3 linked regions of the Notamacropus eugenii genome follow. The protein of the gene in region 1 interacts with the protein of each later gene in a pairwise test. Links are inferred from orthologs where the notes say so. Each region holds a gene or a part of one and is shown on either strand. Other genes may lie near its edges.

Region 1 (7,627 bases):
ATCGCAGCCGCACTTGTAATTAAGATAGCTGCTGGTGCTAAATATGCACCATGTCTTATTACAAAATTAAATTTCCTCTTCCAGGTGTTCAGAAATATGTGATTTTCTTTCACGCTGTAGTAATTCCAGATTTCACTATCTTAATTCCATCAAGTAGGATGGGAAAAATGATTCCTTGATAATAATTCAAATTTATAAACTACTTCGAAGTTTTTAAAGCACTCCTTCAGCATTATCTCAGTTGATCTGCATGACAGCCCTGAAAGGTAGGTAATATTATTATCCCTATTTTATTGAGGAGGAAACTGAGGCCAGAGTGGTTACATGGCTTGCCCAGAGTCACACAGCTATAATTTGTCTGAAGTAGAATTAGAATCTTGATTCAAGTCCAGAATAGAAGATAAAGGCTGGCCTTGAATTAAGGGAACATCTGAGTTCATATCTTGTCTCCAATACTTGAATGACCATAAACAAGTCATAAAAAAACTCTCCGAGCCTCAGTTTCCCCAACTATAAAACAGGGATAATAATAGTATCTGTTGTGAGGATCAGCTGAGATAATATTTGTAAAACACTTGGCAAACATTAGAACCATATGTAAATGCTTGTTACTAGAGAGAGAAGTAGCCATGGCCAGTCGTGTTATGACCCCTCTGGGTCTACACAGGGTGTTATCATTATAGCCACAGAAATGAAATGGCAGGATTTAGCTGGATATTTAAAGTGCTTGCCTCATTTTACTTTTATCAGTTAGTTTCTGTGTGTGCTCATCATATATTTTGTGACACGAAATTCATCACTTTAGTTTGGCCACTAGTTCCACTTGGCCTGCCCCTCCTCCTCCTCCCCTCTCCCTTCCCCCATCAGTCTCCTTACTTCATCATGATTTTTCCTGAGACAGAGCAGATCCTCCTTCAAAGATTCCACGTGTGCCTCTAGGTCACGTTTGCATAGGGTCAAATCATCTAAGATTTTTTGGAGACCACTGATGTCAGCCTCTACTAGCTGGCGAAAAGACAGTTCAGTCTCATACCTTTAATCACAAGAGAGAAACTTAATTTCATTTTGTTTTTTTTTTCTTCATGATGTGACCTAGTCAAAAGCACAAAGGTAAGGGGGCAGAGATAGGACTGAAATCCTATGACTCCAAATGTGGAATCAGGGTTTGGGTAACTTAGCACATAGATACACATCTAATATATGTCAGAGGTAGAATAGATTCTCCTGACTTCAAGGCTGGCCTTTATCTATGCTGGTCTTCTGTGCAGGCAGACCCAGGTATCTGGGCCTGGACAACTTCAGACCCTTCCTAGCTTCATGACCCTGGGCAAGGCACTTAACAAAGTCACAAAAAACCCTCTGTTTGCATCAGTTTCCTCAACTGTAAAATGGGATAAAAACCCTACCTGGGAGGACTATTGTGAGGACTGAAGGAAATAATATATTTGGGAAGTACTGAGCACAGTTCCTGGCACATCCTAGGTGTTCTATAAATGCTTATTCCCTCCTTTCCCCTTCCCTGTCCCATGTCACCAGACTTACTTTGATCTAAAGTCATCCGCTGCCAATTTGAAGTTGTCAATCTGAACAGTTAATCTAGAATTCTCTGCCTTGGTACACAAGATCTGAAAAACAAGAGATGAAATAGTAGAAAGGATCTGAAAAGAGTTCTAACATCCATTCTTTTAAAAACCATCAGATATTTTGTAGGGGCGGGGTGATATATATGGAAGGAGGGGAAGGGATGTGGCTGTTTGAGTGTTTTTGGATAATTATATCATGTCCCTCCCCTCCAAAATCACTTAAATATAAAAAAAAAGCCAGGAGATTGTATTTCTTCACATTTATTTCTGTTTTTAAATTCACTTTATTCTCTCTCAAAAAAGAAAGAACTGAGAATTTGGAGACCAACTAAGGAGGTAGAAAACATTTCATTTACTTAACTACTTTGCTATATTTGTACAACAAACCCATTGTCTCATTATAATAACCCAACAGCAGTAAAACATAGGTTATTTTTCTTTCTAGAAAGGATTTTAAAAATTAATAGCTAAATCTTAAAAGAATGGCATTCTTTCATAATTTCCATGACTGTAAATTTTATACCTCTGAGAAAAAAGAAATTCTATTCATAGAATCCTAAATTTAGAGCAAGAATAAGCCTTAAGAGGCTATCAAGTGCAACCCTCTCATTTTACAGATGAGGAAACTGAGGCACAGAGGAGTTAATTGATTTACCAAGGGTCACATAGCTAGTTAAGTGTCTGAGGTGGGCAATTAACTCAGGTTTTCCTGAGGTCAAGTCCAAGATTCTAAGTAGCAGTAGTAACAGTAATAATCGTAGTATAATGTACATAGCACTTTAAAGTTTGCAAAGCTCTTTACCTTATTACCTTGTTTGATCTTCCGTACAATATACTAATAATATTCCAGATTTCACTTTTAGGTAATATTTTTATAACTCTCTTCCACACCATCCTCATCTCTTTCCATTAATACAGTGGTCCCATAATACATCACCATATCCAGTAAGATGGGGGGCAAGGGCTAGGGAAGAAGAATTGGCTAACAGACCTTTTGTTGGAGATTTTCAATTGTGTTGAAGTAACACTGGTAGTCTGGACACACGAGAGGGACTTCTAGTTCACACTGCTCACGGATTTTGCACTCCAGAGCTTCATTCTCTTGCTCCAGGCCTCGAACCCTCTCCAGGTAGCAGGCCAGGCGATCATTCAGAAATTGCATGGTCTCCTTCTCATTGCAGTTGAAGGCTCCTTCCTCACACCAACCACAGCTACCCACAAAGTAAGGGCTGCTACAGCTCCCAGGTATGTAGCAAGTTGGTAGGCGACTTGTGGGCCGACAGGACCTGGCGATGAAGGTTGGGGTTTGGCATCTGGATGCTACCCCAGTACTGGGGAGACAGGGAATCTCAGTAGAACAGGTTGAAACAGAGGGACAGTCTGATGCCTCTGAACAGGACTCAGGAGTATCACTTTTGGGGGCACATTCAGAAGTCATAGTATCGGAAGGGAAGGGCAAGGATTGTCTGCTAGACTCAAGGTACCCACACTTAGTCTTTTCCTTCCTCATTGGGATTTTTATAGAGCCTCTCCAGGGCTGTTGACAGAATGCTCAGGATGTTTGCTTAAGCCCTGTTTATGCTAGTTTTCAAAAGAACGTTTCATTAGTCTGTTGTGTATTTACAATGGAAGAGTTCCTTGTCTCATTAACAAGGTCAAGTTCATGTTGCTTTAATAAAACCTATCAGAGAGTCCATGTGACAGTAGGACAATAAAATCAAGCTCTTAGATATGTGAAAAAAAAGTGTTTTATACTGAGGTGTATGTCATTGACATCTAGATTTGAACTAGAAAGTTTTGGAAGCAAAAATTCATTATTTTATTTAGAATAAAATACAAAATATTTATCCTGGTATTTAAGGTTCTGAAAAATCTTGCTCCAGTCTACCTTTCCAGGCTTATTTGCATATTACTCCCTTTCATTTATTCTATCCTCCAGATAAATTTGGCCAGCCTGGTGCTCTCCAAATAAGCCACTCCAGCTCCCATTGCCGTGTCTTTGTACATAGTTCCCCTTATAGCTAGTGTGCCACCTCCATGAGACCTTTCCTGATCCTTACCACCTTCAGTACCCTCTTCTCCTGATATTAACTTTCTTCATATTCACTTTTCTATGTACATATTTCTCCCCACTCCCCTCCTCCCCTTCAATATAATCTTCTTGATTATTTTTGTTTTGTTTTTTGTTTTTGTATTGCTAGACCATGCTTGGCATATAGTGGTCACTTAATAAATGCTTGTTAATTGATGAATGAATGCCTGAATGAATGACATGCTTGTTATAGATAATCACGCTAGGAATTCCAGGGATTAAAGCTTCAAAAATGTGGGAAAGGAAGAGAAAAACCTTGGTCAGCAAACAATCAGGGGCTCTAATTTCTTACAAATAGGAGATGGAGGACATGGTTGTATACACTACAATCTTCTGTGTCTGTCTTAAACGACAATGAAATGACAAACATGCATGTTGATGAAGATTTGCAGAAGAATCTTCCAGATTATTATCATTTTTGCTGAGTCTTCCCATCTGTCAACTATAAAATAAATTTTAATGTGAGTAGAAATCCTTTTAATAGCCTCCCATCCTCGGGGAAGAGCAGACATGCTTAAGGAATGAGGTGTGCTGAGGTGTGCTTGGCTTAGGAAGCATCTCTTTGTGAGATTGGCCTATCACACTCTGTGTTTGATCTGGAAGGTCAAATTGCGTCGTGGATGGATACTTCCTAGGTTGCTGACAGGTCACTTTCAATACAAGTCGTGGCACAAACAGATGGTCAGGAATTTTACTTTAGTCTGCTGATTTGCCCAGACTAAGCATTTTGCTTTAATTCTCCACATTCCCATTGTCTCACAAAATCAAAGGATATCAGAGTTGGGAGAGTCCTCAAAGACCATTTGGTCAGACAAGGGCTGCACATGAGGACCTAGAGAGCCACACCTAGAATCAAGGCCTCAGGTTCCCCACCCCTTGATTCGGTCTAATCTGCATCTGAATTAGAATCACCTCTGTATCACACTGTGGCCTCATTCTGATGTTCTTTATTATGGAGCAGGGCAGGGGACCCCATGCTTTTTTTTTTTTTGTCTTTGATTTCCTAGAATTTTGAACACAAAAGACATTTCATGTTTGTTGATTTATTTCTGAATCAGTTCAGAAAATGAATTCCTTTTTTGAGAGCCTTTTGAACTCAAGCAGGATTTTGTTATGATGAAACTATTCCATAATGCCATCAGAGCTATTATGGCTGAATCTGTTTTCTGGTATTTACATAACTCCATTGGCTAGGGCCCACTTTGGATACCGACAAAATGGGAATAAACATTATGTAATGCAGGGGGTGTGAAGGGGACAGAAAAGGCCAGTGGAAGTTCTGCCTTTTAAGCTTGTATATCACTCTGCTTATTGCACCCCCACAATTGCTTGGGGATCCTGTGATGAAATAAAATGGAGGCACTCAGCTTGCCACTCTAGAATGTGCTTAGGTGTTCTCTGACTATTTCCAGTCTGCTTAATATATGGTAAACACACACACACACACACACACACACACACACACACACACACACACATACACACAGAGTTTTGGTTATGTGCTGAGCCATAAGTTAGTACACATCCAAAAGTTAATAACTTGTCAAAATGAACCTCTTTCTTTCTCTCACACATACAAATATACATTCTCTTTGTCTATGTCTATATCTCTCTCCTGTCTCTCCACTGTCTCTGTCTTTTCTCTCTCTCTGTCTCTGTCTCTCCTCTTTCTGTTGATCTGTCACCCTCTCTATCAATCTCTCTTTGTCTCTATCTCATCTTTTCCCCTCCTCTCTGTTTCTATTTCTCTGTCTCTATCTCTCTCCCCTCTCTATCTCTCTGTTTCTCCCTCCCAATCTCTCTATTTCTCTTTCTTTCTTTCCCTTTCTCCCTCTCTATCGATTTTTCTCTGTTTCTGCCCCATTCACTTCCTCTGTCTCGGTTTCTGTCTCTCTCCCTCTCTATCACTCTGTCTCTGTCCCATCTCTCTCCTTCCCTCCTTTTTTCTGTTTCTCTCTGTCTCCTTCCCTCTCCTGCCCAGATTCTTATGAGTGAGGAGGCAAGCATTGCTGTAAGCTTCCAGGTAGAGAAACAGAGAGAACTAGGGTTAATGGCTTACTTTGTGAACTTGGGTTCCCTGTTGTGTCAATTCTTTCCTACTAGACTATAACCTTGTGAGCTTCTAGAGGTCCAGGACCTGGGGTCAATGCCGGAGTTTGTAAATAGTTGAGACTGGTCCACCAGCAAGGCCTTGAGGAGTACCTGGGATCTCCTGTCCCTTGGGGGACCTCCTAGAACCCCAAGAAGGAGACAGTCAGTCCTCTGTAAATGGGACTGATCAATGCAAGTGGGAATTAGGATAAGGACACCCAGGGCCTTTAAAGATTCTAATTGCTACTGATCTTAGGGATAAGGCACATTCTTTGGAAAAAAAATTGAAATTCCAGTGTCAAATAAGTACCTTCCTTACTGTTCTAGGATCAGAAATCAATCAAGGAATCAAAGAAGCATCTATTAAGCATCTACTATATGCCAAGGACTGGAAAATCCTTTGCCTACTGCTCTTAGGTAGGTCATAGACTCTGAAGAATTGGAAGCCTTTTTAGAGGGCATCTAATTCTAGCCCTATTTTAGACACATTTATCTTAAGCATGGATACAGTCTTCTGAATTCTCTTCCTTCTTATCTGAGAGGATTTTTTAGTCAGCAAGAGAGGATTCTAATATTTTTCACTCCATTTTATTAAAATGTAGAACTGGCAGTTTTGACTATGAAGAAGAAATTCTGCAACTGGAGACCATGTCTAGTAGTTGTCACATAAAATCTTCTGCACAGTGACTGAGAGGCTTGTGACATAACCTTGCTGATTTTCTGTTTGATTTTGCATCCATTAAAAACATGCATGTAATATCCATCATTACCTTTGAGGGTAAAAAGCAAAGTTGTAACTAGGGTAAGGCAGCTTGAACTTTGTCTCAGGTAAAGAACATCTAAAGGTTTATTATCCCGTAACTAGTAGTCCTCTACCATTCTACACCATGATGTCTGACTATTCTCGCTTCCTCATGAACTGCCCCCTCCTTCCCCTTCCCTCCTGCCGAGGTTCTGTGGTCTTAGCATTCTCTCTTAAGGCTTGACTTCCTCCACTCTCACACTACTATGCCTGCTACCCGCCCCCTGCCATGTCTTGCTGAAATTTCAGGGGGTAGGGGATATGATTGGATTTGTAAAGAGATGGATCATCACAACTGCAGCCCACCCAAGTTAATCGTCCTCTTCCACCATCTCAGCTGAATTGGACAAAGTTCAAGAATTCCTAGTTATGACTCAAGAAAAAACAAACAAACAAATAACTCAATGAACAATAACAAGGTTTATCTTTATAAAAAAACGTGGATGATTAGAATCCAGGTGCTTAATTTTAAAGTCACAAAAGTAAAATTAAGGAGATGTAAGTTAAAAAAAAAAAGGTGTAAGTTCCTTGAAATCAGGCATTATCTTTCTTTCTGCTTATATTTGCATTTGCAGAGTTCAGTGCAGTGCATGGCATATGATAAGCACTTAATAAATACTTATTGACTTGATAAACCCTCATCTTTAAAATTATGTCTTGACTACAAGTTTCCCTGACTAGGATTCTACTGTTTTTCTAAAAATTCTTTGTTCATACTGGAATATTTTTAAAGAAAAAATCATCCTGGAGTCAGAACAAATACTGCTTTTTGCTTCTTATGATCTATGTGACCTTCAGAAAATCACTTAATTTCTCTAGTTTTCATTTTTCTTATCTGTAAAACTAGGGATTCATAGGATTATTGATTTAGAGATTAAAGGAATCTGAGAGGCTATAAATTCTAGTCCTGTTTTACAGATGATAAAACTGAGTTACAAAAAGGTTAAGTGACTTGCCTAGGGTCATAGAACTAATAAGTATTCAATACTTCTTAGTTCTCTCCTGGTTTAAAAATTAATATCCTTTTAGTCACCTAGGATGACTCAGTGGATAGAGCAC
Region 2 (6,973 bases), on another chromosome or scaffold:
TGGCATTCCCTAACTAGCAGAGTGACATAAATCTGCACTTTAGAAAGATTGATTTGATGAGTGGAGGATTTACTGGAGGACAGAGAGACCAGCCAGCAAACTATTGCAATAGTCTATGCATGAAGTGATGAGGGCCTGCAGCAGGATTGTGGCAAGGTCACGGAAGAGAAGGGGGCGAATATGAGAAATATTTTTTAAATAATATAAAGAACAAAACTTGAACACTAAAAGCATATGTGGAGTGAGAGCTGAGGATGACACCTGGGTTTCAAGCCTAGGTAACTGGAAGGATGGTGATACTATCAATAGTAATAGACATCAGGAAGAAGGTTTGAGGGGAAAGAAAATGAGTTCAGCTTAGGATATACTTAAAAATGTCTACAAGATATCTAGTTCAAGATGGCAAATGCAGTTGGAGATGTAAAACTGGAGGTTTGGAGAGACAGTATTGGAACAAGTAGATCTGACAGGCAACTGCAGAGAGATAATAATAGAAACCATAGGAGCTAATGAAACATCATGTGAAATGGTACTGAAGGGAAAGAGGCTCATTTAACCTCTCTATGTCTCAGTTTTTTCATTTACAAAATGAGGAAATAGTCACTACTTCACAGGGTCATCGTAAGGATCAAACAAGATATTGTAAAGTGTCCTTCAAATCTAATTGCAATAGATAGACGTCAGTTATTATTTTCATAGAATCTTTTTGCTAAAATTCATCATGAACTACAAGACAAGATATACCAAGTGTCCCATGAAATTATTTTTTATGCTGCTTTTGGGTAGCTGATCAAATAAATCTATCAGTTCCTTAATTTGTCTCTCCAAGGAGAACTTGTGAGGTCCCCTTCAATTTACAACTAACTTAATTTTATATTCAGGATTCATCTACTAAAAGAATATCAGTATTGATGTGGTTTGGTTGATCTAACAGTATGTCACTGTGGAAGTAGAATGAGGGGAATTTTTTTATTTGTCTTTTATTCATACTTTAATATGACCAAAGAATTCAATAATTTTTTGGTCAATCTAGTAGTGATGAACTTCTCCATTAAATAGGTGGTTTCTGGACAATAAATTTAATCTTTACCTGGGACAATACTCAAAATGTTTTCAACCTAGTAAAAGACCCCAGAGCTTATACTCTGCTGACTTAGCTCTTAACAACTCAAGAGAGTCAGTTCCACATCAATCTGAAGCATTTGTGTAAATTTGTAATTTCAGATTTTTTCTATCTACAATTTTGTTGAGTTTAAATGTGGTATCTCAAGAACAATATAAACTCCTTGAGGTCAGGGACTGCTTTTCATTTTGTATTTCTATCTCCAGGGCCTAGCATAGCGTCTTTCAAACATTATGGACATAATAAGAACATGTTGGTTACAAAACAGGAAAGTACTGGATATGTAATTTGGCTATCAGGACTTATGCCAAAAACTGTGTAGACAGGGAGAGGGCAATAAATGGGGAAAACCACCTCTCAATTCATGATGATGAGATTTATATGAGCACTTTATCTAAAATACAAATACTGAAGAGAGAGAGATAGAGACACAGAGAAAGACAGGCAGTAAATAGTTAGGCCTGGGGTCAGGCACTTACTAGCTTGTGAACCTAAGCAAGTCACTTGCCCTTTCTCAGCATCAATTTCCTCAATCATAGAATGGTGATAATAATAGCAGTCAGCTATCAGGATGGTTGTGAGGATCAACTGCAGTAACAAGCACTATTAAAATGCTTATCTCCCCCCCACTATTACACCCTGAGTTATATAAACACAGTTAATATTTTTATAGATTTCTAAAAACTGACATTCAGTCTTATATTGCAACCACCATGAGCACGTGACAAATTCACCATGAAAATCAATGCAGCTCACGAGCTAAAATCTGTTCTGATACAGAGAAGTTGCATGAAGAATTCCACCAAACCTATAGCACTTAACCCACACAGACTGACATACTGTGCAAAGGCATTCACTGGGAAGGATCAAGTATGGCAGAAAACACGGATCGATTATTTAAAAAAGAGGTAAAATACCTATAGTGTACACAGAAGATGCATACCAATCATGAACACTGTCTTCAAAAAGCAAACCGAGAGTGTCCGATATGCGATTCTGAGAGGGGAAGAGTGGGGAATAGCACAAAGGAAAGGACAAGTATCCTCCTGCGCTGGAGTATAAAAGCAGTCCTCCGAGTCTTGGTCGTGCGACGTTTCACTCCTGTAACACTGAAAATCAGGTGAAGTGCTCTGCAAACTGCCAGCCTCCCAGGAGGGAGGAAAAGACAGAATTTCGTCCCAGCGTCGAAAGCTAGTACCACGGCACTAGTCAAAGACAAGAGGGGCAGGAATGTGCGTCACGCGATTTCTGGAGGGTCTGTCCATCCTAAATGCCTCAAGAAAACGCTCGTCCGCACTTCTTGCCTCGTTCCTGAATTTCCCGTAGACTCCCTGAACTACAAAATAAAGACTTTTTTTTTAAGGCGCTGAATTTCTGCAAGCCAATCTTACTGCTGATACTTCCCCCACAAAACGAACGCGACAAGACTCCTCAGCTAAGCGCCAACACACGCTGGGGAATGCCTGGTCAGAAAAGTCCAGGTCCCACTTCAAGCTCCCGCTAGTAACCCGCACCAACATTTCCAGAAGGTCGGCTCCGCACTCACCAACTACTCTGCCAGAACTGCGGAGACGCTGGAAATGTCAACAACTGGAGATTCGGGCACAGATTCGCTCTCAGGAAAGGGACTTGAAGTGACTGAAGAACTAATTCTCGTGTACTCTGGGCGCCGCCATCTTGAAACTCACGCGGGGCCTTTCTGAAAAGCCGCTAAACAAGTCGTCCTGAAAAGTGCCTGAACATAAATAAAGGAGCCTTCGCCTAGCAGCTTCACCAGGCACCCCTCAACTCCCTGTACTGCCAGCATTCTACTCCCTGAGCTTCATTTTTCTGCTCTGAACTCTCAAAGAGCAATCAGCTTTGGGTAGGAATGTATTAAAACTACAGGCAATGCTTTAGCTAGCTAAAAGCCCACAGACTAGAGGAGCATGTGAGGTTGGCCAGCCTGTTGCAACTGACTGGCAAGTTTCAAAACGGGTCCTTAGTGTCACAGGAGCATAGATCTATGGTTGAAAGAGGTCGTTCAGGTCAGCCCTATCATTTGATAAGTGATGCAATTGAAGCCCAAAGACATGAAATAACTCAGGATTCTGAGTAGGAGCGGGTCTCTGAGATCCAAATCTCACTGAAAAGGCAACCACCTCGCTAAATTGCTCAGGCTCTCCTATGAGAGGAGAGTTCTACCATTCCACTTTGGATAATCCTCATTATGAAGGAAGGAAAGAGGAAAGGAAGGGGGAGGGAGGGAGGAAGTAGGGAGGAAAGAAAGAAGAAAGGAAGGGGGGAGGAAGAAAGGGAGGGAGGGAGGAAGGAAGTAGGGAGGAAAGAAGAAAGAAAGAGAAGAAGGAAGGAGGTAAGAAGGGAAGGAGAAAGGAAAGAAGGAAGGAACGAAGGAAAAAAGGAAAGGAGGAGGGAAGGGAAGGAGGGATTTTCTGAATTTTCTTTCTGCAGCTTTCCACCTCATTCTGCCTTGTAGGGCAAAACAAAGTAAGTGTAATCCCTTTTCCATCTGACAGACTTTCGGATACTTGAAAACATCAATCTTATCTGCTCTGAGTTTTCTCCAGGCTTGCCAAATGTCCTACAGGTAGTGAGATTAGAACTGTCTATTTCATCTTCAACCCCAGTGATAGGAACTGCGTCCCACCAGGGGCATACTACAGATTCAGACCCAGGGACGGGATCTGAAAAGACCTAAGAAAACGGGACTAGGAGTTAGGGAAGCCTGCAGCAAGGTGATGCACCTCCTACTTTACTTGGGCCTACTTCTGCCTCCTACACCCCCACACACACCCATCCTGTCTGAACTCCTCTTCCCGGCTCTAGAAGCTGGAAAAGCCGTTGCTCTCCTGCCTGAACCCTGCAGACGGAGCAGCGGCCCTAGCCCCGCACCCCGTGGTTCGGTCCTATTTTCTCTGGCCCTGCATCATCAGTACACTTGAAATGGACCAAACAGCAAATAAGAACCAGGGGGTGGTGCGGAGGGAGAGGGCAGGCGCCCCGGCCAAACAGTCCTAACTTGTTCCCAGCTGAACTGCCCGCCAGCCCCCGGCGGGACCTGCGAATGCCCGCCGATGTTTTGACTTTCCTGGTCTCCCACGCCTCCCCCGCTTAGCTGCCCGCGGAGCTGCCTGTTTTCTTTTTCCAAAACTTCTCGAGCTCTAGAGCCCTCGGAGGGTCCTGGCTGGCGCCTGAGAAGCGGGGAGAGCGGAGTGTCGAGCTCCGGGCCCAGCCCGCGGGCCCTGCCCGGGAGCCGAGGGGAGCTCGCGCCTCCTCGGCCCCGGTTTTTATTCGAGTCCGCCCCTCCGGATCAGGCGGGGCCTCCGGGGAAAGGACCGGTTTGTTTTCTGCCCCACCCCCTCCCAAGATGGCAGCCTCCAGTCGGGCACAAGTGTTAGATCTGTACCGGGTGATGCTGAGAGAGAGCGGCAAGTTCACCTCCTACAATTACAGGTGACCCTCGGCGGGCCGGGGCCGAGGTGGGGAGGGGGCACGCGCGGCCTGGGAGCGTCCAGCTTCCCCCACAGCCCCTGGGAGGGCAGCGCGAACCCACGCCGGCTCCGGAGGGCTACCCGGAGCGGGGACCTGGGGGGCTGGGGCTGGGTGTGCGAGGCGGCTGTCCTGCTGGTCTGTGTCCTGTGAAGCCTGTGGATCCCTTCCCGGAACGAAGCTCTGGAAGGCGTGAAGCAGAACACATGGGGTGACGGAGAAAGCCGACCCTGTGATAATACGGTTGTCTAACTGCGGGGGGAGGCGGCCCCCCGGCCCGGCCGTGCGCTGCTCCTCAGCAGGGAGTGTGCTGGGAGACGGTCCGGGCCGACACAAAGCCCTCTCTGCACGATTACTGAGGTTCTAGTGATACGTATTCATAGTAATAATAGTGAGTGGTAATGGCTAGCACCCCCCCCCCAAGACTGGCAGAGTGGTGGGCACGTGTCACCTCCTTTGCTCTCCAACTCCAGGAGGTCATTTACGGTAATAAGGTGTGCGGGACACTTCTTAATGGTGTAAACGGAAGGACAAGTTTCTCTTTAAAGGAGGGATGGACATTTTGCTTAAAAAACCAAAAATAAGTATTGTAACAGGAAAGAGGAAAAAAAGAGGAGGAGGAGGAGGAAGGGAAGGTGCAAGGGACTGAACTGTGTTCCCCTCCTCTTTGACCCTTCTGGTCTCCTGTGCCCTTGGCCAAAGCTCAGGCTTTCAGAGCTCCTGGGAAGAAATTAATGCATAACCTGTTGCATGTGGGACTTCACCTAGGGAGAGAGGAGGTAGTCTCCCAAGTGACTTGTTATAGAGCTTTCTGTCTTAGTCCAAGTTTTGGCTACCATATGGTTTGGGAGATTTTTCCCCCTGTAATATGATTCTGACATGCTAGAAATTCAGGTATCTCAGCTTTCAAACCAGCTAATGTGCTTCAGAGTTTCATTAACAAAAGTGGAGGGAAGTGAGAAGCAGACTATTCATACCACATTTGGAGTATTGTATTCAACTCTGAACTGAACTCTTAGAAAAGAACTTAAGTTGTCTCTCATACAGAAATAGGTATACCAGGATGATGATGAGACTCAACCATCTTAATAGAAAATTATTTGAAGTAACTGGGGATATTTAACCTGATGATATGATAGATACTGTCAGACATTTTGAAGGTTGTAATTTGTGGTTCCAGAGGGTAGAAGTAATTTCATTGCATAGATATAATGGCAAACTTCAGTTTAGTGTAAAGAAAAGGTTCCTAATCATTTTAGACAAAAAATTAAGTAGGCCCTCACAGGAAGTAGCGGGTTCTTCTATGACGGGTAGTGTTCAAGCAGCAGGGGGACGATCACTGGGCAGAATGTTGTAGTGAGGATTTAGGCATTGTGTAAAGGTAAAAGGTAACTTCTAGCATTCATTCATTCAGAAAGCATTAAAATACCTACTGTGTACCATGTCAGGGAAAGATGCAGGTTTATTTGTTGTAGGACTTGGAGAATACCCTTAAGGAAATTCCAGTCTAGGAAAAGGATAATACAAAAACACAGATAACTGCGATGTGCAAGAAGTATATTACCAAATGCAAAACACAGTGTTCTGAGGTGCAATGAAAAGGTCATTACCACTGGGAGAGATCTTTGAAGGCTCAGTGGAGGAGGTAGGATTTGAGGTGGGCTTTTCAAGATAGTAAGAATGCAGTAGGCAAAGAGGGACATGGATAATATTTCAGTAATAGGAAATGGCATGAGCAAAATCATAGGAGTATGGTGTCAAGTTCAAATAGAAATGGATCCCTGCAGGTTGCATATTTAATAAAAAGCCACAAATTACCATTATGTAGTATTTTTGTATATTTTAAAACATTTTCCAATTATATTTTGATCTAGTTCTGGCAGCACTTGGGGAATCTTGCAGGACATCAGGTGACCCTAAGAGTTTGACCCCTCTGCAGTAAAACAATCTTAGAGGAAAGAATGACTGGAATGGAGGGTGCTAAACCTTATTGCCTCCTCTTGTGTGCTAAGCCCTACCCCAACATCCCATACCTCACTCTTGCATGCAAATTGGTAGAATCATCCTGGTCTGTGCTCCTGACCTCTAAGAACTTAACTCAGATCCATCTGGTTACAAGGAAACGGTATTTTCTGTACTTGTAATAGGAAGAAGACTGAGACATTGTTAGAGACTATACTTGAATTCTTCCCCAGATTAGGGTAAAAATTATTAGCCACAAGAGTCCTCATGGTATAGTATAAAAAAACACTACAATTAGAGCAAAGAAATTTGAATTTGAATCCCAGTTCTGCCAAAACAAAAACAAAAACAAAAAAACAAAAAACCCTACTTTGGGAAAACGTTAGATGGAATTCTAGA
Region 3 (7,346 bases), on another chromosome or scaffold:
TATATACCAAATATTTAAGATGAGGAGAGAAGCTTAAAAGTAAGGAAACAGACCTGTGATTAACAAGGGTTTTTCCCCACTGATTTCCTGATCCACTGAAGTACTCTGCCAAGGCTTCCAGTAAGGGGTGGAAGGTGACCCTGGGCCCTAGAATGCCACAGTCATGTACCTTAAGCTTTGGCAGATCATAACAAGATAGAAATACTTCAAATACAGTCAACAGAGGCCGTTGTGTCTGCAGCCTAACCATCCTAAACCCCTGACCTTGCTAATTCATAAAGAAAGTAGATTACCCACACTCAGACACTCTCAGGACTTTTCAAGGGTTAGGGTCAATTCATAGACCAGGCACCAAATCAAATTAATTCAAATCCTTCTCTCCCCCCTTTTCTCTCTCTTTCAGGATTTTAAATTTCTGTTATTCTGCATTTGACAGATACCCACAAACATTTCCACAGGCAAGAAATAAGGATTGTACCTGAAACTGCATGTCTATTACATACAACTTATTTGCTTCCTTCTTTCCCCAAGCAACTCTTTCCTCTTTTTTTTTCTTTTTGGTGTTGTTTTTAAAAAATGTATTTTATTTTTAATTTATGGAATAAAACAAGAATTTCCACAACACGGGACAATAAAAAAGATGATTGCACATGAAACTACAAATATACTATATACCACTTGCTGTTCCTTTCAAATATACAACAAAATTCATATTAAATGCGTTTGTTTCCCTTTTTTCCCCCTCCATGGCTACCATTAGACACAAATAGGTGTATGTATGTGTATATCTATATGTATATAATATATATACACACATATATACATACATGGATACACACATACATAATTATTTTATACATGTTTCTATTTATCAGTTCTTTCTCTGGATGCAGATACGCCTTTCTTCATATGTGCTTTATAACACACCCCTTTGTAATACAAGTTTTCACGTGTAACACTGAGACCTACTTGACTGTTGTGAGGAAAGTACAAACTTTAAATGGAGGCAGCCCAGCTTATGGATGGGCAGCCATCCAAGGACTTGGGAGGACCTGGGTTCAGATCCCCCCTCGGACATATACTGGCTGCCTCCAGGTAAGACCTATATAACCTCTCAGAGCAATCCTCTAGAGCAAGTGGCCTCTTCCCCAGCGTACCTGGCCGGTGACCTCCCCGCCAGCTCTCGGGGTTAGGAAAGGCCTCAAGCTGCCTGCCTGGGGCCACCGGCTTTGCTGGGCATTCTGTCCACAACACTAGCTACCAAGGGACTTGGCTCCAGGCCTGAGGACACCGCCCACGACCCAGCCGGCCCAGTCAGCCAGCCGCCCATCAACAAGCACAAGTTCTCCCCCCTAGGCCGCCCACGCTGGGCTGCTGAGCACACTCGGTGCCAAAGCACTGGGGCACAGCAAAGGGCTGGCTCTTGAAGGAGTGCTTCAAGCTTGTGGAGCTTGGAGACCTCTCTAAAAGTGATCCAAAAGGCACCAGGAAAAGTGCCCGAAGCGCAGGCGTTAAAGGATTTAGAGATGGAAAAGATCTTTACAGATTATCTAGTCCTAAATCTCATTTTACAGATCAGGCAACTGAGGTCCTTCAGAGAGAAAAAGGGACTTGGTCAACTTCACACAAGTGAAAAATTGACTTATCAACCGGTAGAATTCGAACCCATAACCCAGCTTCCCAGGGCTGCAAATCCACCATGCCGCTAGTATGGAGCAGGGCTCCGTAAGTGTGCTTTTGGCCGCCTAGGGGGTGGGGTAAGAGGCTGTTGAGATCTTGTGCCCAAAAAGTGAATGAATGTGAGTGTGCGCGTTCCCGTGAGCCACAGGCGTATACAGGTGCGCCTCTGGGAGCCCGGGTGCGAGTCCGGATGCCTGGCCCCAGGGGGGTGTCCAGGCTGCTTCTCTCCGCCACAGCCCAGTGATTTTCTGACTCCACAGGTTCTTTCCCGGTTGTCCCGGGAACAGTTGCGCCAGCTTGAAGCAGCGCTGGCTCCTGGCACATGAGCATGCACACACACACACACGCACGCACGAGCACTGACCCAGGCTTGGTCACGCAGCGCCACCCTTGTAGGCTGGATCCCCGGAATGCTTCAGAAGTCCCCTCCAACCTTCGCCTCCCGGCTTCCACTCCACCTCCGGCAGGCGCTACCCGGCACTCCCCGCCTCCTCTCCCCGCCATCCATCAGGACCTGTGGCTCACAAAGCCTGCCTGCCCGCGGCGGCGGACACCAGACACCAAATACCAGACATCGGACACCTGTGCGCCAGCCCCATCCTGCCCCCAGCCTTCCCCACACACCTGAGCTACTCCTAGTGCCAGCGCCTGGGGGAGGGGAGGAAGGGGATGGAACCGGGGGTGGAGGTGCAGAAGAGGGGGAGGGGTGGTTAGCGCTTGATCCAGACTTGTCCCATCCACACTGCCCTCTCACCTCGCCTCACCTCACCAGGTCCTGCCTGGATCTCTGCCAAAGGCAGGAAACTAAGCCCGCTTCCTGTCCTCAGCCTCAAGTCCTAGGCAGCCTTTTCTTCCGACTTCATGCCCCCTCCCCCAGCCACAAGCACAGAACTTTTCGTTTCACTCCCAAGAACACTCCATTGCGTGCCACCCCACGGCAGCTTTCCCCGGGTTACTTCACTCTCCTCTCCAGTCCCCTCTAACTCTCTCCACCCCCGGCTCCACCTGTAATCCCGAACTCACCTGCACAGGGCGACCCAAGCACCTCTGTCTTTCAGTTTGGGCTGTCAGAGGAATGACGAATTTGGGAGAGGGGGAGAGACCGGTGCCGGCGGCAGCAGAATTTGGCAGGAACGATGTTATTAAAGTCCGAAAGCTGAAGGAGCAAAACCCTGTCCCTGCGTGCGCCTCCCCGGACGGGTCCCACACACCCAGATGACTTGGAGCTCGCAGCCCCACCCCTGCCTCTTGCAAAGTCCCAAACTGCTCGCGCAGGCACCAGGCGCCTCTGCGCTGCTGAGCCCCAAGTATCTGACTGCATGGACGCTGACTCCAAAGGGGCAACCCCGGGGATTTGGGTCTGAAAGGAGCAAGGAGAACCTTTCCCTTGCTTCCAAAACTAGCAATTTAAGGGAGGTCCTCTCACAGTCACTCCTTTACGACTCTCTGATGTGGTTACTTCCCTTACTATTTTTCAGTACCTAAGACACTTATTTTTATCTGGGGTAGTCCTTCATCCATTCCAGACCTCCATGAAAGTTAGGAACAGTGGTGCAGAGGATAGAGTTCGGGACTTGGGAGGCAGGAAGACAGTTCAAATTCTGTTCCAGATATGTGGCTCTAAACAAGTCGCTTAACCTCTCTCAGTCTCAGTTTCCTCTCTTGTAAAATGGGGGTGATAGCACCTGCTTCAGTGAGTGGTTGTGAAGATCAAATACACTTTGCAAACTTTACAGCTTAACGTCTAAGTGCTGTTAAGGGTAGTGGCTGAAACAGGACCTTTCTGAGCTTTGACTCATTCAGAAGGCATTTAAAATCAGGTCACTCTCTTCAGTTCTACTCTGTGTCCTAAATGTTGACTATTTGCTTTTAGTCTGCCCTTTAATTTACAGTTCTCCATTATCAAAAGCCATAAAGGTATGACATTAAAAGACAGGCTTAGAATTTAGAGGAGAAAAAAATAAAAAACCCAGAAAGGATGGAATGTGAAGAAAAATGAAAACATTTGGGAAAATATTTCATTTCATTTCCTTATATTTTGTTCAACTAATGAACAACACATTATAGAATCAAAATTCTAGGATCTCAGAATGGAAAGGGACAGCAGAGGGATCTAGATCAATTCTTACTGAAAGCATCAATGTCTGTTGTCTGAATAGTACTCATCCAATGATGGGAATGCATAATATTATCACTATGCAGTCCAATCCCTCAAACCTTAACTTAAGATAATAACACTGCCTGTAAATCCAGAGGGCCTGGATTCAAATGCCGCATGACCTGTATGACCTTGAACAAATCTCCTACCTTCTCTAGGCCTTGGTTTCCTCATCTGTTAAATGAGGAAGTTCAACTATATTGTTCCTGAGGTCCAGCTCTAGACCTGTGATCCTCATGTATGTAAGCACCTACTTCGTTATTCCCCAGCTCACTAAACTCCAGTGGTTCCTGTGGTTCTAGGATAGCTACAAATTCCTGTTTGGCTTTTAAAGTACTTCACAGCTTTACTCAAACCTGCTCTTCATTCATCACTCTCCTTAATGGAGTCTAAAATCCAGCCAAACTGATTTACTTTTCACATGCTGCCTTGAACTGAAGGTATTTGTGTGTGTTTAGGGCCACTCAATGGCCCTAGATTGAAAAAATACTTTTTAGACGTCTTGATTGCAAGGATTGTCTTATACAACTTTGCATACTACAAAGCTGTCCAATGAAAAACCACTAAAACCCAACTGTCAAACTGAATTGTAAGCAATTTACTTCAGAACTTTTTAAGTCCTTCTCTTTTTCTCTTCCTGCCTTCCCTTTCTTCCCGTATCTCTCTCTCCCCCTTCGTCTCTCTCCTTCCCCCCTTTCTTGCCTCTTTTCTCTCTTCCCACCACCTTATCATCTCTCATCTCTCCTTTCTGTTTCATTTCCCCTATTCCCTGCAATGCTTTCTTAACTAGACATAACTATGGCATTGGCTGTGTGGTTGTTGGCTTTTTTTTAAAGTTTTATATGTGTGTAATACCTTGCTACAATAAGTAGCTTATTTTAAGGCTAGGGGTAATACAGTTGTCCTTAGGTTCATATGGTTCCTTCCTCTGTTGCTTTAGGGAATTAAAACAAAAAGTTAGGAGTATAATGACTCCAAATCCCCAGCAGAGGATTGGCTCTCTGCCTTAATTTATAATTAGGTTTATCTCTAGCTAACCCCTGACCTCTTTGTGGTTGAGATGAAATTCATGTTATTCGAAACATTTATGTAAAGAAGAAAAGGAGTTATATTACAGTGTCCTCTTTAAATTTACATTTAATTTTTTCCCTCAGTTACATGTAAGCAAAAATGTTTTTAACATTTGACAGTGTCTATTAATAGACAAATACCAGAAGGGGAAGTTGGGGAAAGAACTGACCTCTTTTTAGAACTTTGGATCTTTGAGAAGGAAGGTAAAACTGATGGCATCAGTCCAAGTTTTGCACTCTGAGATCCTAAAGGGCCAAAGGCCCTCCTCTATCTCTCTCTTCTCTGCCAACTTTCTTTCTTCTTTTGCATGTTGCCCCTTTGCTGTCGATTCTTTCCAGCTCAGTTCTTGATGTTTCAACTCCCTCTACTCTCTCAGACTTATGACGTTTGAAGAGCTGAACTCTCTCCTGCATTTATACAAGCTCCTTGGCATGGCCAAGTCCTTCACCGACTCAGCACAGATTTTCTTTGCACCTAATTGAGACATCATCTATTGTCTTTAAGAGGATGTCTAGGTCTTGCTCATATCTAGTTCTAATTGAATCTGCCAGTTGAGAAGTGATCCTATCTAACAAAGGTAATCCACTTTTGAGTGGGTAGAAGTAATCCATGAACCTCTTTTTGCAATTTTTAAAAATAAGTGATTTTGAAGCTCTTGTATTGCTCTGAGAAAAAATAAAACTAAATAAGGTTGTCTTTTGTGTGACCTTCAATTGTTTCTGTGTACCCTCCACCCTAACCAATATAAGCCTCCACTCAATGGCCCTAGATTGAAAAAAATCTCCCCACTCTTGATGGGGAAATAGGAAAATGGGAGAAAAATCTGAAATGGTGTATTAAGCTCTATAGTAGAGAGTTTCTAGGCACTTAGCCTTTGGGGATCAGAAAAGGAGAAAGGAGAGTCATAGTTGGGCTTCCATTGCTTGGTGGTCTTCTTTACCCAGTGCTTAGCATGGTGTCTGGAGATTGTTATTGTTGTTCTGACTCTTTGTGACCCCTTTTTGGTTTTTCTGGGCAAAGATATTGGAGTGGTTTGCCATTTCCTTCTCCAGCTTATTTTACAGATAAGGAAACTGAGACAAATAGTTAAGTGACTTGCCTAGCGTCATGCAGCTAGTAAGTATCTGAGACTGGATTTGAACTCAGGTCATCCTGACTCCAGGCCCAACCTCTCCACTGTGCCACCTAGCTGCCCCATCGTGTCAAACAGTAGATATTTAATAAATATTTGTTGACTGTACCTCCAATATCCAAAAGAAGACAATTCAAATTCCATGTATTTGTATTTATGAACACCATGGAAAAACCACCTTAACCTTTATCTTTCTATACTGAAAGCTTTTAAGGCATCTTGAAAAGACCAGTGAATCATTTCATTCAATTTTGCATAAAATAAACAACCTATTTTCCAGCCTTATTAACCATCACTCTCTTCCTTTCCTACATTCAAAACTTCTGCTAGATTTTCCTTCTTGCTCCTTCTCATCTCAAGATACCCTCCTCTTTCAGCGCCTTGGCCCAAGATATCTCTGCTTCCCTACCCCCATTCCTCCACCCCCTATCTCTTATAAGCCTTTGTTTCTTTTAAGACTCATGAAGACTTTCCAGATTCCTCACGGTCCTAGTACCCTTCTTTCCATAATTTTTTGTGTTAGCTTGTATTGGGGACAACTAGTGGCCGTGTGGACGGACCAGAAGTCAGGAAGCCTTCAAATCCAGCCTCAGTCTTACTAGCTGTGTGACCTAAACTCTACTTGCCTCAGTTTTCTCAACTATAAAATGAGGATACGTAATAGCACCTGCCTGCCTGGGTTTTTGTGAGAAGTAAATAATATTTATAAACACAGCACAGTACCTGGTATATGATAGGCGCCACATAAATGCTTATTCCCTTTCTCCACCTTTTATTTGTTTTGAATATATTTTATATTTTCTTATTTATAGACTTCTTGCCTCCCCTAATAAAATTTAAGGTCCTTGAGGACAGGGATTATTTCCTATTTGCTTTGGAATCCCTAGTACCTAGCCCAATGCCTGTCATATAGTAGGCATTTAATACATGTTTACTGATTGATAATTAGAGCTTGGATTTTGAACCTACTATTGTAAGGCTCTTTCATGTAATCAAAAATTACATTCACATTGAATTCAGTTACACATATGATTAAGATTGGCACAAATACTAACTAGCAACTGAGCCAATGCAAATTTGGAATACAAAAATATTTCATTTCATCATCCAGCCTCAGTGGAAAGATTGCTAATGAGGAGAAACTGACTCCCTCTCAGAGCAACCCATCCCACTTCTATATGGCTTGGATTGTTAGGAAGTTTTCCCTTGCATCAAGCTCAAATCAGTTAATCAATAATTCTTTATTAAACACCTATTAATCGCTTATGTGTCTGGCACTGTGATAAATACTGGGGATAAAAAGAG

Evidence for each region.
Region 2: the proteins of keratin, type I cytoskeletal 40-like (region 1) and FARS2 interact in binary tests that used the Homo sapiens proteins (3 or more experiments, as listed by UniProt). The two-hybrid records come from large-scale screens. The link is inferred for Notamacropus eugenii from reciprocal best matches to the Homo sapiens genes KRT40 and FARS2.
Region 3: the proteins of keratin, type I cytoskeletal 40-like (region 1) and SH2D4A interact in binary tests that used the Homo sapiens proteins (3 or more experiments, as listed by UniProt). The two-hybrid records come from large-scale screens. The link is inferred for Notamacropus eugenii from reciprocal best matches to the Homo sapiens genes KRT40 and SH2D4A.

What each region holds. Positions count from the first base shown.
Region 1 is NC_092873.1:356,891,472-356,899,098, forward strand, and holds the start of keratin, type I cytoskeletal 40-like, read right to left. Parts: upstream 3,022-7,627; coding exon 2,575-3,021; intron 1,626-2,574; coding exon 1,543-1,625; intron 1,034-1,542; coding exon 877-1,033; intron 1-876. UniProt on the Homo sapiens protein: May play a role in late hair differentiation.
Region 2 is NC_092875.1:175,234,261-175,241,233, reverse strand, and holds the start of FARS2 (phenylalanine--tRNA ligase, mitochondrial), read right to left. Parts: upstream 3,001-6,973; 5' UTR 2,670-3,000; intron 2,641-2,669; exon of another isoform or gene 2,067-2,640; intron 1-2,066. Other genes in the region: LYRM4 (LYR motif-containing protein 4), read left to right, coding at 4,491-4,576. UniProt on the Homo sapiens protein: Is responsible for the charging of tRNA(Phe) with phenylalanine in mitochondrial translation.
Region 3 is NC_092872.1:616,684,972-616,692,317, reverse strand, and holds the start of SH2D4A (SH2 domain-containing protein 4A), read right to left. Parts: upstream 3,001-7,346; 5' UTR 2,704-3,000; intron 2,653-2,703; exon of another isoform or gene 2,435-2,652; intron 2,215-2,434; 5' UTR 2,045-2,214; intron 1-2,044. UniProt on the Homo sapiens protein: Inhibits estrogen-induced cell proliferation by competing with PLCG for binding to ESR1, blocking the effect of estrogen on PLCG and repressing estrogen-induced proliferation. May play a role in T-cell development and function.